3 linked regions of the Drosophila melanogaster genome follow. The gene in region 3 interacts genetically with the main gene of each other region. Each region holds a gene or a part of one and is shown on either strand. Other genes may lie near its edges.

Evidence for each region.
Region 1: of nec (region 3) and psh, changing one suppresses a phenotype caused by changing the other (phenotypic suppression), as found in Drosophila melanogaster (one study listed by BioGRID).
Region 2: of nec (region 3) and spz, changing one suppresses a phenotype caused by changing the other (phenotypic suppression), as found in Drosophila melanogaster (one study listed by BioGRID).

The regions. Positions count from the first base shown.
Region 1 is NC_004354.4:18,483,579-18,489,604, forward strand, and holds psh (persephone), read right to left. Parts: upstream 3,344-6,026; 5' UTR 3,055-3,343; intron 2,570-3,054; 5' UTR 2,561-2,569; coding exon 2,485-2,560; intron 2,419-2,484; coding exon 2,235-2,418; intron 2,177-2,234; coding exon 2,067-2,176; intron 2,002-2,066; coding exon 1,718-2,001; intron 1,660-1,717; coding exon 1,476-1,659; intron 1,418-1,475; coding exon 1,071-1,417; 3' UTR 909-1,070; downstream 1-908. Other genes in the region: CG15046 (uncharacterized protein), read right to left, coding at 4,070-4,410, 4,468-4,639, 4,696-5,576, 5,818-5,908.
Region 2 is NT_033777.3:27,063,857-27,072,544, reverse strand, and holds spz (spatzle), read left to right. Parts: upstream 1-2,474; 5' UTR 2,475-3,335; coding exon 3,336-3,401; intron 3,402-5,049; coding exon of another isoform or gene 5,050-5,187; intron 5,188-5,345; coding exon 5,346-5,423; intron 5,424-5,660; coding exon 5,661-5,937; intron 5,938-6,064; coding exon 6,065-6,446; intron 6,447-6,513; coding exon 6,514-6,691; 3' UTR 6,692-6,742; exon of another isoform or gene 6,743-6,856; coding exon of another isoform or gene 6,857-6,985; exon of another isoform or gene 6,986-7,109; intron 7,110-7,222; 3' UTR 7,223-7,457; downstream 7,458-8,688. Other genes in the region: CG43935 (uncharacterized protein), read right to left, coding at 6,857-6,985. UniProt on the Drosophila melanogaster protein: The activated form, spaetzle C-106, acts as a ligand for the Toll receptor. Binding to Toll activates the Toll signaling pathway and induces expression of the antifungal peptide drosomycin.
Region 3 is NT_033778.4:7,155,285-7,160,929, reverse strand, and holds nec (necrotic), read left to right. Parts: upstream 1-2,688; 5' UTR 2,689-2,782; coding exon 2,783-2,798; intron 2,799-2,864; coding exon 2,865-4,139; intron 4,140-4,205; coding exon 4,206-4,345; 3' UTR 4,346-4,453; downstream 4,454-5,645. Other genes in the region: Spn43Ad (serpin 43Ad), read left to right, coding at 5,572-5,645.

The sequences.
Region 1 (6,026 bases), on a different chromosome or scaffold from region 3:
ACATAAACAAAACAAAATCCAAGGGAATTACGAAAAAAAAAAATAAAAAATAAAGAAAAAAACACCGCAAAAAGCACACCAGCAGAGTCAATAAAGCTAAAAACCGGTGGCTATCACAAATCGCGGCGGTATGGAATCTGCTGGCTATTTTCCCGGCTCTGACCGCTCAGCAACGCATCGCCCAAGCAACTGAAGCCAAGCTTCTGAGCCCCAGCTGGAGCTGGAGCTGGAACCGATGAGGCCCATTTAGACGTCGACCAAGAAGCGCCGGACCCAGCAGCTGATAGCACCCAGAGCCGATCCTCTCCCGCTGAGCGGCGAACCGGTTTCCCATTCCACCACTTCGCAGAATCGCAGAACGATCCGAAGCGATCAGAAGCCAGAGCACACAAAGCACAAAGGCAGCCTGTAATTAGCGAGTGGGTAAGCAACAGGCGAGCGGTATGGACTAAAGGATACCGCGTAAGGTCTATGCTGCGCTTGGTGACCCCGATATTTACACCTTTAAAAGTCGAGTATAATTGTGTCACAGAATCGTGTTTTAGAACTTACCATATATATAGTTTCAATTGCAGTAATCTTGTTTTTTTTTTTTTTGTATAATTCTTCTCTAATTAAAGTGGTGACCCAGATACTTACTTTCTTGCCTAGGTTGCGACCTAGGTGGTGACCCAAGAAGTCCTTTTCAACTTATAGTCTGAAACATATGCTTAAAATTTAAATTTCTTATGACAAATCTTTCTGAAATAAATGCATTCTGTTTGTATTTCCCCATTTTTTTTATACAGTGCAGCAATTCAATAAAAGTGGTGACCCAGAAATCCCTCTAAAATTAAACAGAACCAGAAAAATCACTTCACAGAGTTCTGGAAACCGAACTGCCAGAAATAATATTGTACCGATTGATTATATCTTAAAACGTATCTACTTTATTGGTATTAAATGGTTCGATCGCGGTGCTCATAGAGATCACAGATGAGTGTTTGCCAATTGCGATGGATCAGGCAGTCCTGATCCCAAATAGAAATAATATACATACAAAAAAAACAAAAACTTTACTTTTCCCAACTTTACACCCGATTGTCCGGCCAGACAATGCCCTCGATAAAGTCCAGATAGGACGAGACACGCGTATAGAGTCCCGGTGTGACGGTGGCGCATCCGAATCCCGACGAGATGACGCCCATGATGGTGTACATGCCGTCCTCCACGTTGAGCTCATGAATGAGCGGCCCACCGGAGTCGCCCTTGCATGCGTCGGCGATGAGCTTTTGATCAATGGCGCACAGCAACGAATCGATCACGCCCTGCTTGAGCAACCTTATGGAACCGGGCTGCTCCGCATAGGATATATTGCATTGGTCCAGAGGCACCAGCTCCAGACCAGCGCGCAACAGGATCTTAGATCGCGCCCGAGCTGCGGATGGTTAGCCATTAGTGGAAGTGGAGGATATGGAACTTTTTGTGCTACCCACTGGTTACATTTAGGACGCCCCAACCGGCGACAAAGAACTTGGAGTTCGATGGCGGATCGGTGGCATCCGTATGGAGACAAGCGGGCCGGATGTTATCCGTCTCGACGACATCACGTTCCAGTTCCAAAATGGCGATATCGTTGTACTTATTGCCCACATACTGCGGATGGATCTTAACGCTTCGCTGAGATATGGTATCGATCAGAATGGCTATAACTTAATGCATAAGCACAGTGACTCACTATGACGATATCCTGGTAGGAATGGTCTGGATTTTCAATGTTCACAGCTCCCAAGCGAACAAAGGCCGGCGTATTGGCATCGGTGTTGACACAATGTGCGGCGGTCAGGACGAAGCGACTGGCGATTAGCGATCCGCCGCATCGGAAATCGGTGCCAAAAGTGATGTAACCAATGGCCGCCATATGGGGATATACACCCGGATCAACCGGATAACCGCCCACGATGTGTATGACCAATTGATTGCCGCTCCTCTGCTGTTTTCGCTCGCGAATCTTCTTGCAGGCTATATCGTGGGATTGGAAATAAGTAGAGGAACTCTAGGAGTGATCTGATCAAAAGAGTAAGCACCTGCCACTGCTGGGCGATCACCGCTTCCGAACGTGGGCACATCGACACGACCACTGGTCATTGGAGCTTTTGTGCTTGTGGTGGAGCTTGTGGAAACGCTTGTTATGGTACTGCAAAGGCAAACAACCCATTTCTATGTGATCCCAATGGAAGCAATTCGCGGATTACCTATTGTCACAGCACGGCTTGGTGGGACAGCAGAAGATCTCACCCCAAGCGCCGAGGCCACAGCTGGGCACATCGTTGAGCGTCAGGACTCCCGACTTGATGTAGCCATCGATTAGGGGCTCACAATCGGAGGATGTTCTGCAGATACCGGGCATGGTATCCGTCACCTTGCAGGCCCGACCCACTGAAACAAACGCAAGATTCGAGTCGGGCAAATACTTGATGTGACCTGGCTGAGATCGGAACTCACCTGTGACGGCTGCTTCCACGGAGGAGCAGCTGATGAGCACAAAAGTGCCGAGTAGCAGGGACCACTTCAATGGCATCTTAATTCGCTGCAATTAATGGAGAATGTAAATGAATGAGCTTCGCCATGATTTTCTGATTACAATAAACCAGCAGCCATTGACCAACTTATTGAGTACAGATGCTAGACATGAACTACAGTCACTCCTGGCATTGGAGGGCCAAGTGGGTGAGGAAAACTCAAGATTATTTTTTTCTTCAAGGCAGTATTTCACCATCCAACGGAAAACATAACATGGAAAGGTTGGATCGGTTGATTCACCTTTTTTTTTTGGCGACTGTAATCTTCGTTCTGTCACTCAGTACGAGGGGTATTTATAGCTGATATCGAAAACCTCCTAAACTATCTGAGTTGGGGATTTGTTTCTGATAAGGACAGAATGCTGTTTAGTTTGGATAGAGCCGCTTACGCTTATTGATTGTGAGTGCTGAACTAGCTTGCAGTAATTATAAGCTAATCACATGTATGATTGTACGACTTATGCTCATGGCACGAACCTTCCACGGAACCCACCTTCGACACAACCTTTTGCCAGACTTTGATAAGGGAATACGTCGCTGTTTCGATGTTCTTCGAGTGCACCGATCACTCCGAGTATGGCAATCGGAAGCACAGCACAAAAACACAAGGAATACAATACAATAAATCAAGCAAAACACGAGGAAACCAGCAAAAACAAAACTGCACACGACGTAAACTCAATGGAGCTTTAAAACCGGTGGCTATGGCGGAGAGAATCTGACCGATATGGTCACAGACGCGGCGGATTGAAACGGTCAGGCTGGGACGACGGTTCTGACCGCTCAGTAAAGCATCTCCAGTGCAACTGAATCCCAATCTGTGACTAGTCCAATCTACACACTAGGCGGCAATAGATTGCTCTCCAACCGGTTTTCATCTCTGAAAGATTCTTGAATCCAGAGCCACAACCGATCCGAAATAATCGGAAAACCCGAGCAATGCTTTTATGAATAATTAAACATAAATAAATATAAGAGGAGATCGTTTTTCAGCGGAATTAGCAATGAGTTTCTTATGCTGCATAGTCCAAACTGTAATGACACAGTCTCCTCCCTTTGAATTTGTATATCAAAGAACTAAGAGCAGTACTTAAGATGTAACTGTTTCGAAACGAGACCTTCAACAATTCCAAGTGCTTGATTTATGCGAACAAATAGCGAATAAAGTCATCATGTGTGCAAATATTTGCAAATTTATGCAATAACTAAACGTAACTTGAAGGCGCTGTTTACTCTATTAACTTTTGAATGAACAGAGAGAATTGTAATAAATATATAAAATTTATTTATAATGTTTCTTATATTAATTTACTTACTACAATGAGGTTTTGGGTAGATGTTAACTGGTATATTCTTAGGCATAAAAGTACAGTCAGATCGTGTTCAGTGTGACCATGCTGCTCCAATTATTTCACAAGCTGATGCTTGCGAAATCAATTTCACTTCTGCGTTCTTCTCATCCAATTTATACATTATTTGCATAGATTGTTCTAACTTAACCTGGATGACTACTTCTGCTCCTGCTCCACAAACCGCCTGAACGGCGGACTCAGCAGACCCGTGAAGTACATGGTCCGTGCCTCGCACTCAGCCCCCGTGGGCGTGGCAACCCCAATGACGCAGCGACCTCCGCCCGGTCGCACCAGATGGAGTACACTGCCCACGGAAGCCGGACAGGCGGCGCAGGTGCTGCTGTTGGAGAACCGCTGCAGCTCCCTTTCGCCGTCCATCGGCTCCACGCAAAGATGTGAGCTGCCCAGATCCTGAACTCCGCCGTAATTGGGTAGATCCCCGCAGGCCCATGTGGGACGCAGTCGCATGGGCATCTCGAACAGCGGACAGTCAGTGTCTGAAAGAGCTTTATTCGTTTAGTTGGAACTCCTTGGATGAGTATGCTATAGCTCACCTTCACCCTTGCCCCAACCCACGGCCACTAGGCTGCCGCTACGCTGCAGCCTGGTCAGCTCGAACTGGGTGCAAATGGGAGCCACGCTCACATTCGCGGAGGTCTGACTGCCCAGACGCAGTGGGTCCTGCAATCGTATAAGTGATAGATCCTTTTGAAATTGAACCAGGCGCTAAAATATTCGACATTTTAGATTTGATGTACATGGGCAAGGACTGATGGACTCACCACTATATCCGCCAGATAGTCCTCGTCGGCGTCAACGTCCCGCAGATCAGCCACTCCGAAAACAGCATGACTTGGTCGCTCGCAGCCAGCGGCGCTGACCAGGAGCTGGGGCGTCAGTACCAGGGCGGCACAGTGATGCAGGTGGCCATCGAAGGCGGCATTCGGATGTGCCAGCGAAGCCAGATGGCGGTAGTGTGGCAGTAGCCTATCCGCCCGTGCAATGGCGGCCAGCTCTAGCGGATCCTCGGCAGCTTTGCCCTCCGACGAATCACCCTGGACACCCAGCCGCAAGCCGGTGTGGACGCGTGGCTGCAGCGGCAGATTGAGCGGACAGCAGATGATCTCCTCGTGCGTTCCCTCGCGGCACGTTGTGAAATCCTCGTCCCTGAGACGACCCTGCGACAGGAGTGGCTCCACACTGGGGCAGGCGGATACGGCACGACACTGGCCCTCGTACAGGGGAGCCGTGCAGTCGGCGCCATCGGAGGTGTCTCTGAAGGTGATGCTCTCCCTCGTTGGCCGGTGCGTGGACCCAATGGATTGCTGGACGTAATCGCGATCCGTCTTGAATATGCTCAGCCAAGGTTCTGGCGCTGGAGTTGTGGTAGTAGTGGTGGTTGTGGTGGAAGTAGTAGTAGATGTTGTGCTGGTAGTAGTAGTAGTTGTAGTTGTACTGGTGGTGGCCGCCGTGGGATCTAACCGCACCTCGCTCTGGGCATCCTCGACGGGACAGCAGATCTTCTCGCTGCGCGTGGTGAAGCCACAGTTCATCACCGCCCTCAATGTGAGTCGTCCCGTTTTAAGATGCGACGCCAGAGTCTCACAATCCTCCAGCGCTTGGCAGCGACTGCGGTAATTGACCGTGGGACAGGGATCACCCACTGCAACCAGGGAACAATCATTCGTAATCAATAATCAATAATAATCACCAAATAACGATCAAATAATAATGAGTTGCGAATACTGAGCATCCAATTATGAAAGACTACGTGTACAAATTATAAAGTGTACATTGTTAAATAAACATGTAAATTGACTTCAACTCATGGAGCGCGCCAGGAGATGTTAATATTTGGTCTGGTAAAAAAGTTAAGTGGATCGATCAGGCGATAGCTTACGCACCCTCCAGACTGAAGTAGCCCCGACAGAAGCCCAGACAGAGGCTCGCGAAGATCAGGGCGGATATGAAGCCCGTTGGCCCTCGACGTAACATTGCTCGACTCTCGATTGCTTTCGATGCTAATGTTGGTTGTTATTATTATTGGAAGCCAACTATCGTCGCTTCTGCTCCTCAACTGGCTGCTACAAACAACAAACTGGCTGCAGAGACT
Region 2 (8,688 bases), on a different chromosome or scaffold from region 3:
TCTGCCGCTCATCTGGATCGCCAAGGTGCCACATCGATTAATGGGCGTCCTAAATGAGCTCGTTTCCCTCTCGATTAATAACTATTAGGTTAATTGGATCAAGTCGTTGGAAAAATGGCACCTTAATTACTTAAGCTCTGTGATTTTCATTTGGCACTTCAAATTAACAGTTTAGGCTTACCTAATGTTCGCAAAGTTTGTGCTAATATGATACATAAAATGATTAAAATTAAAAGAGGAAGTATATTTGCTCATTAAAGCTAATCTACGCACATATTAACAGGTATTCAAAGCTTTACAAAGTTAATCATACTACAACTATTGCAAGACATTGTGAAAAGTCTTGACCTTTTCCAATGTATCAATTCTCAGACAAACGTATGATTCAATGTTTACTAATAAGTTGTAACTTTAGCCGTTTCGCTGAAAGTAATTAATGAAGTTAGTTAAGGCGGTGCTAACTTAAAATTTTACTGCTAAATGGATTTCAAATTAACATTTAGGATAGTGGAAGCTGAAATTATATACATTAACTTAGCTCATAAAAATACAATTTGGAAACCTCCTAAATATATGCACCACAAGCTTAATAGATCCCTAAAGTATGCAAGTAGATTTAAACAAGTTTGATGCAATCGTAATATATTGAAATGGTTTGTTCAGTTGAGGATTTAATTGATTTCTGAGAATTTTAGATTGTTTAGAACAGATATGTATGGGCATTACAATAATACAAAATTGCATCATCATGCAATTTAGTTATCTACTTACACAGCCCCCCTTCATTGCATTTTATTACGTACTAATTGATAAAGAAATTCTTATGAATCAACAGTGCAGCTGATGTTTCTACGAAATGGCCTCAACTCAGTCATTGGTGCATAATTCGGGGGAAAGGCTATGCTATGAGTAGATATGGCCAAGTAAAATGCATTCTGCTAAGAAGTTCCCGTTTTTCCATGGCGAACGACATCCACTTTGGGCCATAAACATAAGCACACAAGGTAGATCCATTCAGGCACGACTGCGTCAGATGCCGTTTACATGGCGATTACTTGCAGTGTGCGACTTAAAGATGCGGTTTTTTGTCCGCCGTTCTCGGAAATACCAATTGAGTCACCATCTTTCCCAAGCGCCTCAGCACGCTCCAAGGCGGCGACTGGCGGGCTAATTTAAGCGATTCGGATCTGCGGCTCCCATGACGCGTGCGCCAACGGAACTGGCGTTTGCGGCACCCGTTCGGAATATCAAATGTGTTAGAAATATTAGATGGGCTCCAACGTGGGGATAGTTTCATTGGTGGTGGTGCCGAGAGCAGAGCAGTTGTGCTCCGCGAGCTTTGATGCCGAGCTTTGGCCCGGCACCACTTTTACTTTCAGCAGCAACAAGTGCTGGCCGGCACCTTCTCACAGGTCAACTTGACCGACTGTGAGAAGCCCTACACTTGGCTAACATGGGTTTAGCCCGATAGAGAAGGTGGTAATCAACCACCCACTTGCCACAAAGTTTGGTTATTTTCAGCTCGGGGAAATTTCTATATTTTCGGGCTACCTATAAACTTGTTTTCTTTCTGGATTTAAATAAAAGTGATAATTCAATCGCTGCTTCTTTAAGTATACCTAATAAAAAAGCAATAAATCTCTAATCGCGTATGTTCAATAACAAGCGGACAGATAATAGTTAATTACTAAAATGGGTCGACGAAAAGGGCAAATTTGTACATAAGTGTTTATTAAGTACAGTATTCATTATTTCAAACGGAAACTTAATCATCCAAAATGCAGCTTTGATTGACTTCCGCAGATAACAAAGCTCTGACTTCGAGGCATCCAAACATTACTCTGTGGCTGCTCTAACTTTTTCGTAATATTTGTTTTAAAAAATTTTGCGATAACGAAGTTAATTTTTGGTGTCAAATGCCACTCAAACGATATGTACATTTTATGCAAAGCTTTATGGCAACTATGCTGATTAGAATGAATAAAATGTTTGTATGGAATTAGTTTTTGAAAGTATGTTTTTAACTTATGTGTTAAAATAGTACAATTGAGGGTTTGATATTCTTCTTAAAGCTCCAGTGATTTGTATTTGGTTTAACAACAGATGTAATTAAAAACGTTAGTCATTATAGTGTTAGTTTGATGTGCACTTACTTTTCTCCAAGTGTAATATGATTCAGATAATTCCGACTGGTAAAGTTTTTCGTGAAGCAGGCGCAATTAGTAGCACTGCTCGGAGTCAGCTGTGATAAAATCGCGGTCCGCTCGCCCAGACGTCCCGCTCCCTCGCACGACCCTCGCGCTCACTACCCATCCCGCTTCCACCGCCTCTGACCGGCGGCGTCTCGCTCGCGCACAGCGCCCGCTCCCGCTCACACTCTCGCAAGCTAGCTTAAAGCTGCACTTAAGCACTGAGCAATTGTTTGGGGGAGCAGACGAGTCGAGTCGGCGGCCTCTGGGCTCCACTTTTCATTTTCAGTTGCCTCCCAGACGTGCGCTCTCGCTGTCGTGTGTTCTCGATCGCGAGAAATCCAAATCGAAATCGCAGTCGAAATCGAACTTGGTTAATGCTTAACACTCTGCATGCCCGGGAGATATGGTGAAACTCTCGATCTGACCGGAAAATCCCAGCGCGCGTCGCTATAAACACTTAAGATCGGTGGCAGATGGTATCGGGCTTGAGGTCCATAAAAGCGCATTCATCTCGAGCTTTTCGTGTCACTCAAAGACGGCGCACAGAGCCGAAAAGTTGAAGACTCACATATCCTGCGATCAGCTACTTGGATAGCCCATTGCCCAGTTGCAAGCCAAATCGGTTATAAACGATATCAATATCGCGGCATTTCATCAGAGCAACCAAATCGAACCGATCCGAAAACGGTTCCACTAAAGCGGCGAGAGCGAAACTAAAGTGAAAAGCAAACCGACTAATTGAAGTGTCTGTCTGTGTGTCTCGCAAACGTGCAAAGGAAACAAACAAAACGGAATAGCCAACATATCACACAGAGCCACCGCACAAAATATTTATAAATAAATAAGAGGCAACAGTAACACCAGCTACCAGTATAAAGGCCCGGCATTAACATTTAGTCGTGCCAGTTTGTTTATTTTTTATATACGCAAAGCCCATAAAAAGAAAAAAACGCACAGATCACTAAAAAACAACAGCAGCCGGCGCTATAATAACAAAGTTGTAGAAATAAGAAAATTGGTATAAGACGCCACCGATCCGCCAATCACCTGCTATATACTATTACTAATCCCCGACGCAGACGTTCGCCGTCCGCAGAATCTATATATATTTATAAATCCAATTGATTAAGCCCGAGATCGAGCATGATGACGCCCATGTGGATATCGCTGTTCAAAGTCCTGCTGCTGCTGTTCGCCTTCTTTGCCACGGTGAGAAATTTACAATTTTACAAATTTCAAAACAGTCGAACCTCCATAAGGGAAACTTTCAAAAGAAGTTAAAGTTTTAAAATTTAAAGATCTTTGCGTCGAAACAATAATTTATTCCAAATCTATCTAATCTGATAAAAGGTTAAAGTCTCCTTGTCTTCTTAAGACAAGCACTTAAGATCTTAAGACTCCAGAACTTGATTTTTTGTTTATTTGAAACAGGTGCTCGCTTGTTCCAGTTATGAAAGTTCGACTGCATTTCTGTTTTTTTCTGTTCCGTGTTAATCTATGCTTAACATAACTGTCATTTCATTGCAATATATTTCGGGCTATGGGCTTTTTAGCTATTAAGATTTATTTTAGATTTTCCATAGTTGTTCTAGCAGTTCCATTAGCCGAAGGGCAGTTTCAAGTTTAAATTTAGTCACAGACTAGAAAACCTGTTCGCATTGCCAGCGGCAGGTTATGTGCAATTTTCATTCTCTATATGATAAATGCACATCATAGGCATTACAATAATATTAATTGACACAAACAATGCCAGACATTCTGCACACGACTTTGGAAGTAATTTACTGCCGGACAAATTGTATGATCATCTCTGTGAGAAAAGCAATTAGTTCGTATTAATGGCGTCGAATGTTAGAAAATCCGTTTGAAAAGCGCCCGAGAACTTTTGTCTTTCCGGTTTTCCGCGAATTCCGCAGCGGACCGGTTCTAAAGATCGTTTTCAGTTCTAGCTAAATTCCAATAGGTTCACGGAAAACCTAAAACTGTGATGGAAAAACGATCCAATGTTTGCCTTAGTTGCGTCTACGCCAAACACTGATGAACGCGTTTAAAAAAAGGTTGATTGCTAATTGATTGGGAAAAAACATTTCCGAGAAATCGCAAAAGTTCTCAGACAATCAAGTTCAGATGGGTTGGCACCTTAAAGCGGGTTTTCTACATGCTCGTCGAGACCCAATTTTAATTTGGGTAAATTCTGTTGACGATTCCATGGACTCTATTCAAGAATTTAAGCATAATAAAAAGTCTTGACGAGATTAGGGGCTATTATCAAGGCTTATTTATATCACTGCATATACATATATATATAACATAGAAATATTTTAAAGAGTAGCACTAAAAGTGCTGATAATTCTAAAATCGCCAAGCTATTTGCATAATTATGGTCCTCGGATTATCAATACATTAAAAGCAACTATTGGCTTGTTCTTTTATATAAATAACCTTCCGGTTGGATTATGTTGATTTTTATTCAGGATCGGCTTGCCTTTAGATTTTCCAATTATTCAGTCTTTATTGCTTGCGGAAGAGGGACATCCGTTTTCAAGTTGCTAAGCTAGAGGCAACTCTCGAGGGGATTATCAACTCTGATTTTGGACTCTGGCTGTTGTTATATGTATATAGGTTCGGGTCCTAACTCAACGGAACTATAGAATTGCGAGAGAAAACTGCGCTTGCCCGAAAAACAGCTGTTCAAACCTTTTGAATACGCAAATGTAGTGCCCGACAATAGAGAGAGAGAGAGAGAGAAGTCTGGGTTGACAAACAAACGAGCCCGAGCACCGACCCACGAATATATACTCCGTTGTCTTGGCAATGTTGATGAACTGCAAACAAAACTCTCACCTGTATCTTTCAGATAGTTTATATCAATATCGAATTAACGAAGCGACACGAGGCCGAGGTGAGGGCAGAGAAAACAGTGGCAGACTATAAGGCCCTTTTGGCTACCATTAACAATGGCGGACCCGGAAAGTCAGCATCTAATCACTTACAGGTGTGAGCACAGTGTCCCCGAGTGTCCCGAAACAGACCCAGTTGTATCGTTATGCTTAACACCTTAATAGCCTTAATTTGTCTGTGGTGTGGTCAAAACTTCTGAACCGAGACTAAAGTCTATTGTCTTGTCTTTTTATTTCGCCATTTTTGCTACAGTACGAGGCCAAGGAGTATGAACGTATCATCAAAGAGCTTTTTACAATAACCAATGATGAGGGAGTTGTCCTCTTTAATGTAAGTGTATACATAGGCAAATGCATGATTTCTCTGTAAAATGTGTCTTTGATGTGAAACGCAATTCATAGCTTCAAGGACGAATTGGTGCGCTGCTTTCTTATAACTACTCTTCATCCTATATTGCATCCCCATTTCACTGCTCATTTGGTTTCTTATTGGGTTGTGTGTTGTCTTTGTGCTTCCTTTTTTTGCCAATTGGCTAAAGACTAACACGAGTAAATTTTACCCGTACAGACGTCCGCGGACAGTGCACCCTTCATGCCCATACCCACCCAGCACGACGATCCGACCCAGAAACAGAAACAGAATCAGAATCAATCTCCGATACCCGAAACGAACCGCCATTACCATCAGTATCACAGCCTGATCCAACCAGATCAGTACTTCAAAGTGCAGCGCTCCCCGAATGGAAAGCTGAATCTGGTCTTTAACGATACGTTCGTATCTTTGCAGAGGACGGACACGGAGGTGCAATCCGAACAGCCGATACCCCCCCGACATCCATCGGATAGTAAGTACTAAGTATTTTAGCCTATATATGCTCAGTTACATTCGATACCCAAACATGCCTTACAACTAACTACTAAATCGATCCCATACTCACTGGCCAACTGCCTTTGGCGCTTGCCTAATTTTAGCCTTTGTCTTCCCCGATTCCCCCATAGCCAAGTATCGGCCACCACAATCCCCAGCTCGTCCTTTGAGGAATGACACTAAAGAGCACAATCCCTGCGCCAAGGATGAAAGCCAACACCTTAGAAACTTCTGCACGAATGTGGACGACTATCCGGACCTTTCAGGCCTCACACATAAGCTAAAAAACAACTTTGCCAAGTTCTTTAGCAACGATCTTCAGCCCACGGATGTGAGCTCTCGCGTTGGTGGCTCAGACGAGCGATTCCTTTGCAGGAGCATCAGGAAGCTGGTGTACCCAAAAAAGGGCTTGAGGGCGGACGACACCTGGCAGTTAATTGTCAATAACGATGAGTACAAACAGGCCATCCAGATCGAAGAGTGCGAGTAAGTTATAGCTTGAATCTATGATATATTCCATTAGCCTTGCTAATTGCCAAACCTTCCCTTCCAGAGGAGCGGATCAACCCTGTGACTTCGCCGCCAACTTTCCGCAGAGCTATAATCCAATCTGCAAGCAGCACTACACACAGCAGACCCTGGCCAGCATCAAAAGTGATGGCGAACTGGACGTGGTGCAGAATTCCTTCAAGATCCCTTCCTGCTGCAAGTGCGCGTTGAAGACTGGGTGATTCTGGAAAATGGGATTCTCCAGTCGATGGCTGCGACAATGTGATATTGAGGTGAGGCCACGATTTATTCGTACATTAAATTTTAAAAATAGGTACAGAACAGAAACGACTGACTACCAAGAAGTAGAGGATTTCAATGAATCCTTGCGACTTAAGGCGAACGCTTCACTTGACCAACTTGCGCAGGGTCCAGCCGACGGCGTAGAATCCCACCAGCTTTAGGGCCATTCCCTTGCTTTCAGCCTTCACCAAATGCTTAAACTTGTTCTCGAAATTGCCAACGACGCGATCCATCGGAATGAGATAGTATAATGTCTGCAATTCAGAAGTCTTGAAAATATGTTCGAATGCGGATTTTCGAACTGTGCTTTATCAAGTATTGTACTTAAATTCAAGAATAATGTTTCTTGTGATTCGAAGAGTCAAACTTTTCAGACTGAGACTACAACTCTAAATATGTATACAGCTTCATTGACATTATTTCCTTGTTAACTAGACCAAAAATATAAATTGTATCTCTTCTCTTTGCAGCAAGAAGTTTCACCCACCACAGAATGGCAGGCCAAACTGATCAGTGGTCATTGATTTATTCTATAATCTGCTGAATCCACACATAGACCAATGTGCATATTAATTTAGAGCTTTAAGTCGAGTCATTTTAACCATATTCGTGTCATATATTCATTTTTGACTTCCACGTCTAATGCCTAAGCTAGAAATGCAAGTAATTAGTCCTAGAATAAAAACAAAACAAAACACAAAACACAAAAAAAAAAACAAGAAAGATAGAAATAACGATTTGAAAAATGTATGTTAAAAAAAGATAATGTATAATAAATGTATGCAAGTACATGCCAGCAAAGTAAAGTTCTTTGAACCCATCAGCGAGTACCTGGTGGACAATTTATTTGCTTATTAACAATAATTCGGTTCGCCCCGCTGCGCAAACCAATTACACCCTAGTGAGTGTAAACACATTCCCCCAAAGGGGTGGTGGTTGGCTTTCACCGGCAAAAGGATAACATGCATCGACTTCGGCTTCCTGGCGCTGGATTTTTCCAACTGTCAGCGGGGCGTATGCGCGATGTGTCTTGAGGTGCTGGCGCTGGCACATGTGGAAATCAATAGTATTTATCGATTCCCAGACACAATAAACTATGTCAAAGTTAGGCCGAACAATGCGAATGCTTGTGGATTCGTTGTGGGCGGGCAAAGTGCCACAATTTAATTACTATTATTAGGTATCCTTCCCGTTTGGCCAAATCCAGTGTCGTGCCCTGGTCGATTGGGCATTGGCCAGGGTCATCAATCATGCACATCCCCAACAGCCACACACAGCCGCGTCCATATCAATTAGCAACTATCCATATATCTCCGCCCACCGATTTTATATATGTATATATATAATCGTAGAGTTTGGATTGCCCTTTGTAATGTACTTTTTCTCATTACGCCACTGGCTCCGTTGCGCGGATTGTGGTCACTTGGCGTCCCTTCGTGTTCTGTTCTGATTCACTGTGGAAATACACTGGAACTTGTATTCGAACGCCGCATACCTCAGATTAATACCTTAATCACTTAGCAATACTAGTCAGGTTGCACGACAAAGGTGCACGTTTAATACATAATCACAGTCAGCGTTTACACATCTGTATATTAAGTACGCCTGCGTTATCGGTGCTAATTACTTCTAAATCATTTGTTAAGTAATGCTCCATATATAATATTGCTGTATATTAGCTACAAACCATTTCGCGAAACGGAGCGACCCTAGCCCTAATGGATACAATGGAACTAAAAACAAGGATATGGACAACATGCAGGACAGTCAGACAGTGTCGGCGTTTTTGGGTGGGAATGGAGATGGGCTAGTGGGTCGCATTGGTGGCTCGTAATTGCCGCAGCACATTTGCATGGCCGAAGGAGTTAATGGGGGTTGCCTGATTTGTTTGTTGGTAGTACTATTGCCATTGCCAGCCAGCCAGCCAGCCGTGTTG
Region 3 (5,645 bases):
GAGTGGAGAGTGAAGGAGCAGGAGAACCGGCACTGGTCTCTCTGACATTCAGAATGATTGCATCACGAAGTACAAATTTAAACTGCGATTACCCCGCCCCTAAAGAACTTCAGCCGCGGATGTCCATTCTTCAGAGGTAGAGAGAAAAGTACAGTACTGAGATATTGCTTAATGGAACTTCAGATCCTTTGGATGTAATACGATTTGAGGGCCGAGTAACTTCGAAACAAGTTAGCTCAGAAAACAAGCTACACCTTGATACATTTATGGGTGGAAGAAATATACAAGCAACTTTTGCTAAGGCATCAGATATACATCATCTTTAGTAGATTTACTATTTGCAATAAATTAGTAAATTTGAAATACCTATGCGGAACTGCTAGAGTTTCTCCGAGTGCATCGAGTGCTATAAACAAGGAAGGGGGAGTTTGTGGGCTGGCAATTTCTATAAACGCTGCTAAATGCATGAGCTGTGCTGCAAAAGGAAGGGAATGGCGATGCCAGAAGAAAGAATGCCGACTATGATTAGGCCACATGGAAATTACAAGTTTCCTTTATGTCGCTTTAATTGATGCTGCCCCGGATGCCGATTCTTGGCCTTTTGCTCAGCTCGTTAGCAACATGCTGTCAGATTCAGAGCAACTCGGATGCAAATTGCATGTGTAAATATTGTGATGGCCACGCGGCAGCCTTATGATTTATTCGCCATAATTATATGCAAATCGGACAAATCGTGCGGCCAACGCGCAATTTAATGCAATTTCGGTGTAAGCCGCCCACGGACAGCAATCGCTCCTCGTTTGCCACCTCCGCTGCACTGCATCCCCTGGCATCACACCCCCCCCCCCCTCTGATGACCACCTGACTCTCCGGCGGCTCCCCAATTAATGACTCGCAAACAACGTCGGTGGTGAGCTGCTCCTGCGGTCGTGGTGCACCAGCACAAGTACCAGTGCCAGCAACATGCTGCCACTAATTGAGGCATCGCCCCGGTGACAACTTGCAATATTTCCATGCGGTTGCTGTCACCACCTGCGGTTCACGGTCCGTGGTGCGGGGGTGTCTGGGTAATTGGCCAGGTAATTTAAGCAAATTGGGTGGAATAGTTTTGGAAGCACGAGCGATAGCTTGATAAAATAATTCGTTTTCATTTTAAAACATCTTGAAATTATGTGTATAATTCGAATATCTGTTGGTAAGTCTAATGAAATGTATCTGAATGAAAAGGAGTAACGCAAAAACAAAGACTGATTCAAAAGATTACTTAATTAAAACTTTATACTACGAATGTGCGCAGATAATCACATATGTGATCAGAAAATTATTATACTCCTGAAATACATAACGTTAAAGCACTTTCATGGTAATTCCTAGTCTGTGGAATCTTATCCAATAAATTTCAAAATGATTGGTGAAATGATTAGTTCTAAACTAGTGAACACCCCATACAAATTCAAGTATTACTTACTATAATTTATTCAGGCAGCGTCACTGATTTTTTTGTCGATTCCAATTGTTTAAGTTATGATAAAGCTTTCCAGTTGACAACCGTAGGTGTTTCTGGGGAAATTCCCCTAATTGCAGCTGGATGCTCCGATCGAAACCTACTGCCATTTAAACGGCTAGATCGATTCGGAGTGGAGGGTGGTGACACCTCCGTAACCCTGCGATAAGTCGGAGGCCAGCCTTTGTTTGATCGGGCAAAACACTAGACGTCATATCAGCCGGAACAAACACACGCGGCAGAACTGAATGGAAGCGGAATGAGCCGAGCTGAGCCCACCTGGTGCAGCGCAATTAACTAGACTGCTTCCCAAACACTCCTCCTCTACTTATCGATTGCATTCTGGCCCGGCACTCAAACTCGCATTCATATCAGCGATGCACTCCGTCGTGCCCCACTTTCCAGTGGGCTGCCGGGCGGCGGTGGAGTAGGGGCGTGGCACCACACTCTAATTGGAGTAAATTATGTTTACACATTCGGCCGCCTGCAATTGGGTCACCGTAAACCAGGCAAGATTGGGGAAGAATCGTGTGGGGATTGGGGAAAAGTGCTGATATGAAATGCATTTCGTGTGCGGCTTTACATAATTAGACATTAGATAGGCAGGGAATCCGAGGCTGTGGGGTCTTATCCGGGAGATTGGGGGCTCTCTCCAGCCACCGGGGAATACTTAATTAGTTCTCGTCATGTTTATGGGTCGGTTATGTAAAATGGAAAGGTTATTTAATGGACGACAGCGTGGAAATGTCAGCAGGAAATGCAGGAGTTATGAGTAGATTCAGCGCCCGAGATAGTGGATCTATAAATAGACGGAAAACTAAACAGGTTTCTTTCACCGAATCCCCAGCGGTGAGTCACATCCTTAACTCTCCAGTGGCGGCTAGAACGGCAACCCACGCGAATCGCGGACTAAGATGCCAGGGATAGGTGCAGGGAAAAGCTTCGCCATATACAACGTGCATATTACATATTGTGTGTTTTCCTCTGTGTAATTGAAATCGTAGCCGGGCTTTTCCCATTCGAGATGAGAGAGTCAGGAGAGTCACTTCCACAGAACTCTCCATTCGATTTGATAATCGAACGCTTCTCCTTAGCATAGCAGCTATGGTTGTGGACCGGTTCTCTCTTCCAATCGCCGTATAGCTCGTATCTGCTCTGCTGCTAGAGATCGGTTTTGCAACGATCAGTTTTGTAGCGCAGCTGAAAACGAGCTGATCGGCTAATCGGAAGAATACATTCATTTAGAAGGTTTCCAGCTAGAAATAACAGATAAGAAACATGGCGAGCAAAGTCTGTGAGTTGTGGAAAATCCATCCAAGAGTCGCCCGCGAAAAGCTATAATGTTTTCCTATTCCTACAGCGATCCTTCTCCTGCTAACCGTCCATCTTCTGGCTGCTCAGACCTTCGCCCAGGAGCTCATCGCTTGGCAACGGCAACAACAACAGCAGCAACAGCAGCAACTGCAGCTACAGCAGCAACTGCTGCTGCAGCAGCAACAACACCAACGTAACCCAAGACCGGAGCTGGGCCTCCGTTCCCTGCCCGGAAACCCGTGGACCCAGAACAATCAGGAAGCCATAAGCGATGTGGTGGCGGTGGACCTAACCAAACGTGAGCCGGTCACTCCGCCACCCAATCGCCCGCCGCCCGTCTTCAGCTACATGGACCGCTTCAGCTCCGAGCTCTTCAAGGAGATCATTAAGTCGCAAAGTCAGCAGAACGTGGTGTTCTCGCCCTTCTCCGTCCACGCGCTGCTGGCCCTGATCTACGGGGCCTCGGACGGAAAAACGTTCCGGGAACTGCAGAAGGCCGGAGAGTTCAGCAAGAACGCCATGGCCGTGGCCCAGGACTTCGAGAGCGTGATCAAGTACAAGAAGCATTTGGAGGGCGCAGATCTGACCCTGGCAACCAAGGTCTACTACAACCGCGAGCTGGGTGGCGTCAACCACAGCTACGATGAGTACGCAAAGTTCTATTTCAGCGCCGGCACGGAGGCTGTCGACATGCAGAACGCCAAAGACACGGCAGCCAAGATCAACGCCTGGGTGATGGACACGACGCGGAACAAGATCCGGGACCTGGTCACACCGACCGACGTTGACCCACAGACGCAGGCGCTCCTTGTGAATGCAGTCTACTTCCAGGGTCGTTGGGAGCACGAATTCGCCACCATGGACACATCACCCTACGACTTTCAGCACACCAACGGCAGAATTTCCAAGGTGGCCATGATGTTCAACGACGATGTGTACGGCCTGGCCGAGCTGCCTGAGCTGGGCGCCACCGCCTTGGAACTGGCCTACAAGGACAGCGCCACCAGCATGCTAATCCTGCTGCCCAATGAGACCACCGGACTGGGCAAAATGCTGCAGCAGCTGTCCCGGCCGGAGTTCGATCTCAACCGCGTTGCCCACCGCCTGCGCCGCCAGTCGGTCGCTGTGCGCCTGCCCAAGTTCCAATTCGAGTTCGAGCAGGACATGACCGAGCCGCTAAAGAACCTGGGAGTCCACCAGATGTTCACGCCCAACTCGCAGGTGACCAAGTTGATGGATCAGCCGGTGCGCGTGAGCAAGATCCTGCAGAAGGCCTACATCAATGTGGGCGAGGCGGGCACAGAGGCCTCGGCAGCTTCCTGTAAGTTCTGAAGACCATCAACACCCCCGAATCCTGTGACTAATTATCTCCCAATCTCTTTCCCAGATGCCAAGTTCGTACCCCTTTCGCTGCCTCCCAAGCCCACGGAGTTCGTCGCCAACCGGCCATTCGTCTTCGCCGTCCGCACACCCGCCTCAGTTCTGTTCATAGGTCACGTGGAGTATCCCACGCCCATGAGCGTCTAAAATGAACCAAATTCGGACAAATTGATTTATTAGAATTCCATTTCTGAGTAGAGCCTTGCCCGTTGCATTTGTGAATAATAATAATAAAGTATGACGCTGTATTTATGGAAACTGAACTTTGATAACCCCGTTTCGCTGATAAGAGCAATGGGATTCCGTGTCGATCACACGGCGATCCGGAGCAGCAGTAGTAGCAGGTATTGCCATTGTGCCTTTTCCCAGTTGTTTGCCGGGGCTCTTGGCTATTCTGGATTTCCAGCGAATGGTTTTTGCCCGCTTCTGTAAGTTGGCAAACCCGTTTTGGAGCCGCGGCACTCCTCCTGCCCTCTTGTCCTCGCATCCACGGCCGTAAATCAAAGGCGGATTTCTCAATCATTTTTCAAAATGAGCGAAGCTTCCTCATGCGCACTAGATCTCACTTGAGATCACCGAGGATGGAGTGCAGGGTAACCCATTTTGGGGGAGCAATGGGGCTGAGAATTGTAAGACTGCGGTATGAGTAATTGAAATACCCGCTGAAAGCTGGGCATAATTAATGGCGCTTACTCAAGGTTGCCTACACTCAACAAAACTACGTTGTAAATTTGGGGTTCTTTCTGATATTGGAAGGTGTTAAAGAGTAGGTAGTAGGTACCTACTAATGAATAATTAAATATCGCGAAAAACGCTTCATCCCTCAGATAGCCCATTTCAAATCTCTGCTGCTAAAACTTATTAAATTGCTAAATAAAAAACAATTAGAGATGATCTAATTAAAATGTCACCATTATTCTTATAGTAATAATTCTAATGATTATATACATCAGTTACCCCTCCGAAATGAAAGTTTAGAATTTCAGATTTCTGATTTGCTATTCTACATTCATTTGATTACGAAGGCAATCAAAATGTCTGCACCTTTTGTGTTGCAGTGTCGAATTAAGAGTGAGTGAGTTAGCTTCCGAACTTGAAATTTTCTCAAGCGCGAAACGAAAACTGGATAGAATCGCTTGCTACCTCTCCCAGTGAATCTCTCTGAGAACTTCGAGCTCTCCGCCTCTCGAATCGTTCCGTATCACCCAAGACCTTCAATGCCGAGCTCTGACTTTGGCTTTGGACCTCTCCAATCAATGACCTCAATGTCTCAATATAATTTGAATTTCCTTGAATGAGCGCGTAGCCTAGTTGTGTGTAAGCCACTGGATCATTAACATTAGCATTAGTCGAAGCTTGGTATTTCCCAAAACATGATCCACTGGAGACTTCTTTCCGCCCTACTTGTGGGCCTGGCTATAGCTTTAACGCTTCCAGTCGACGGGGA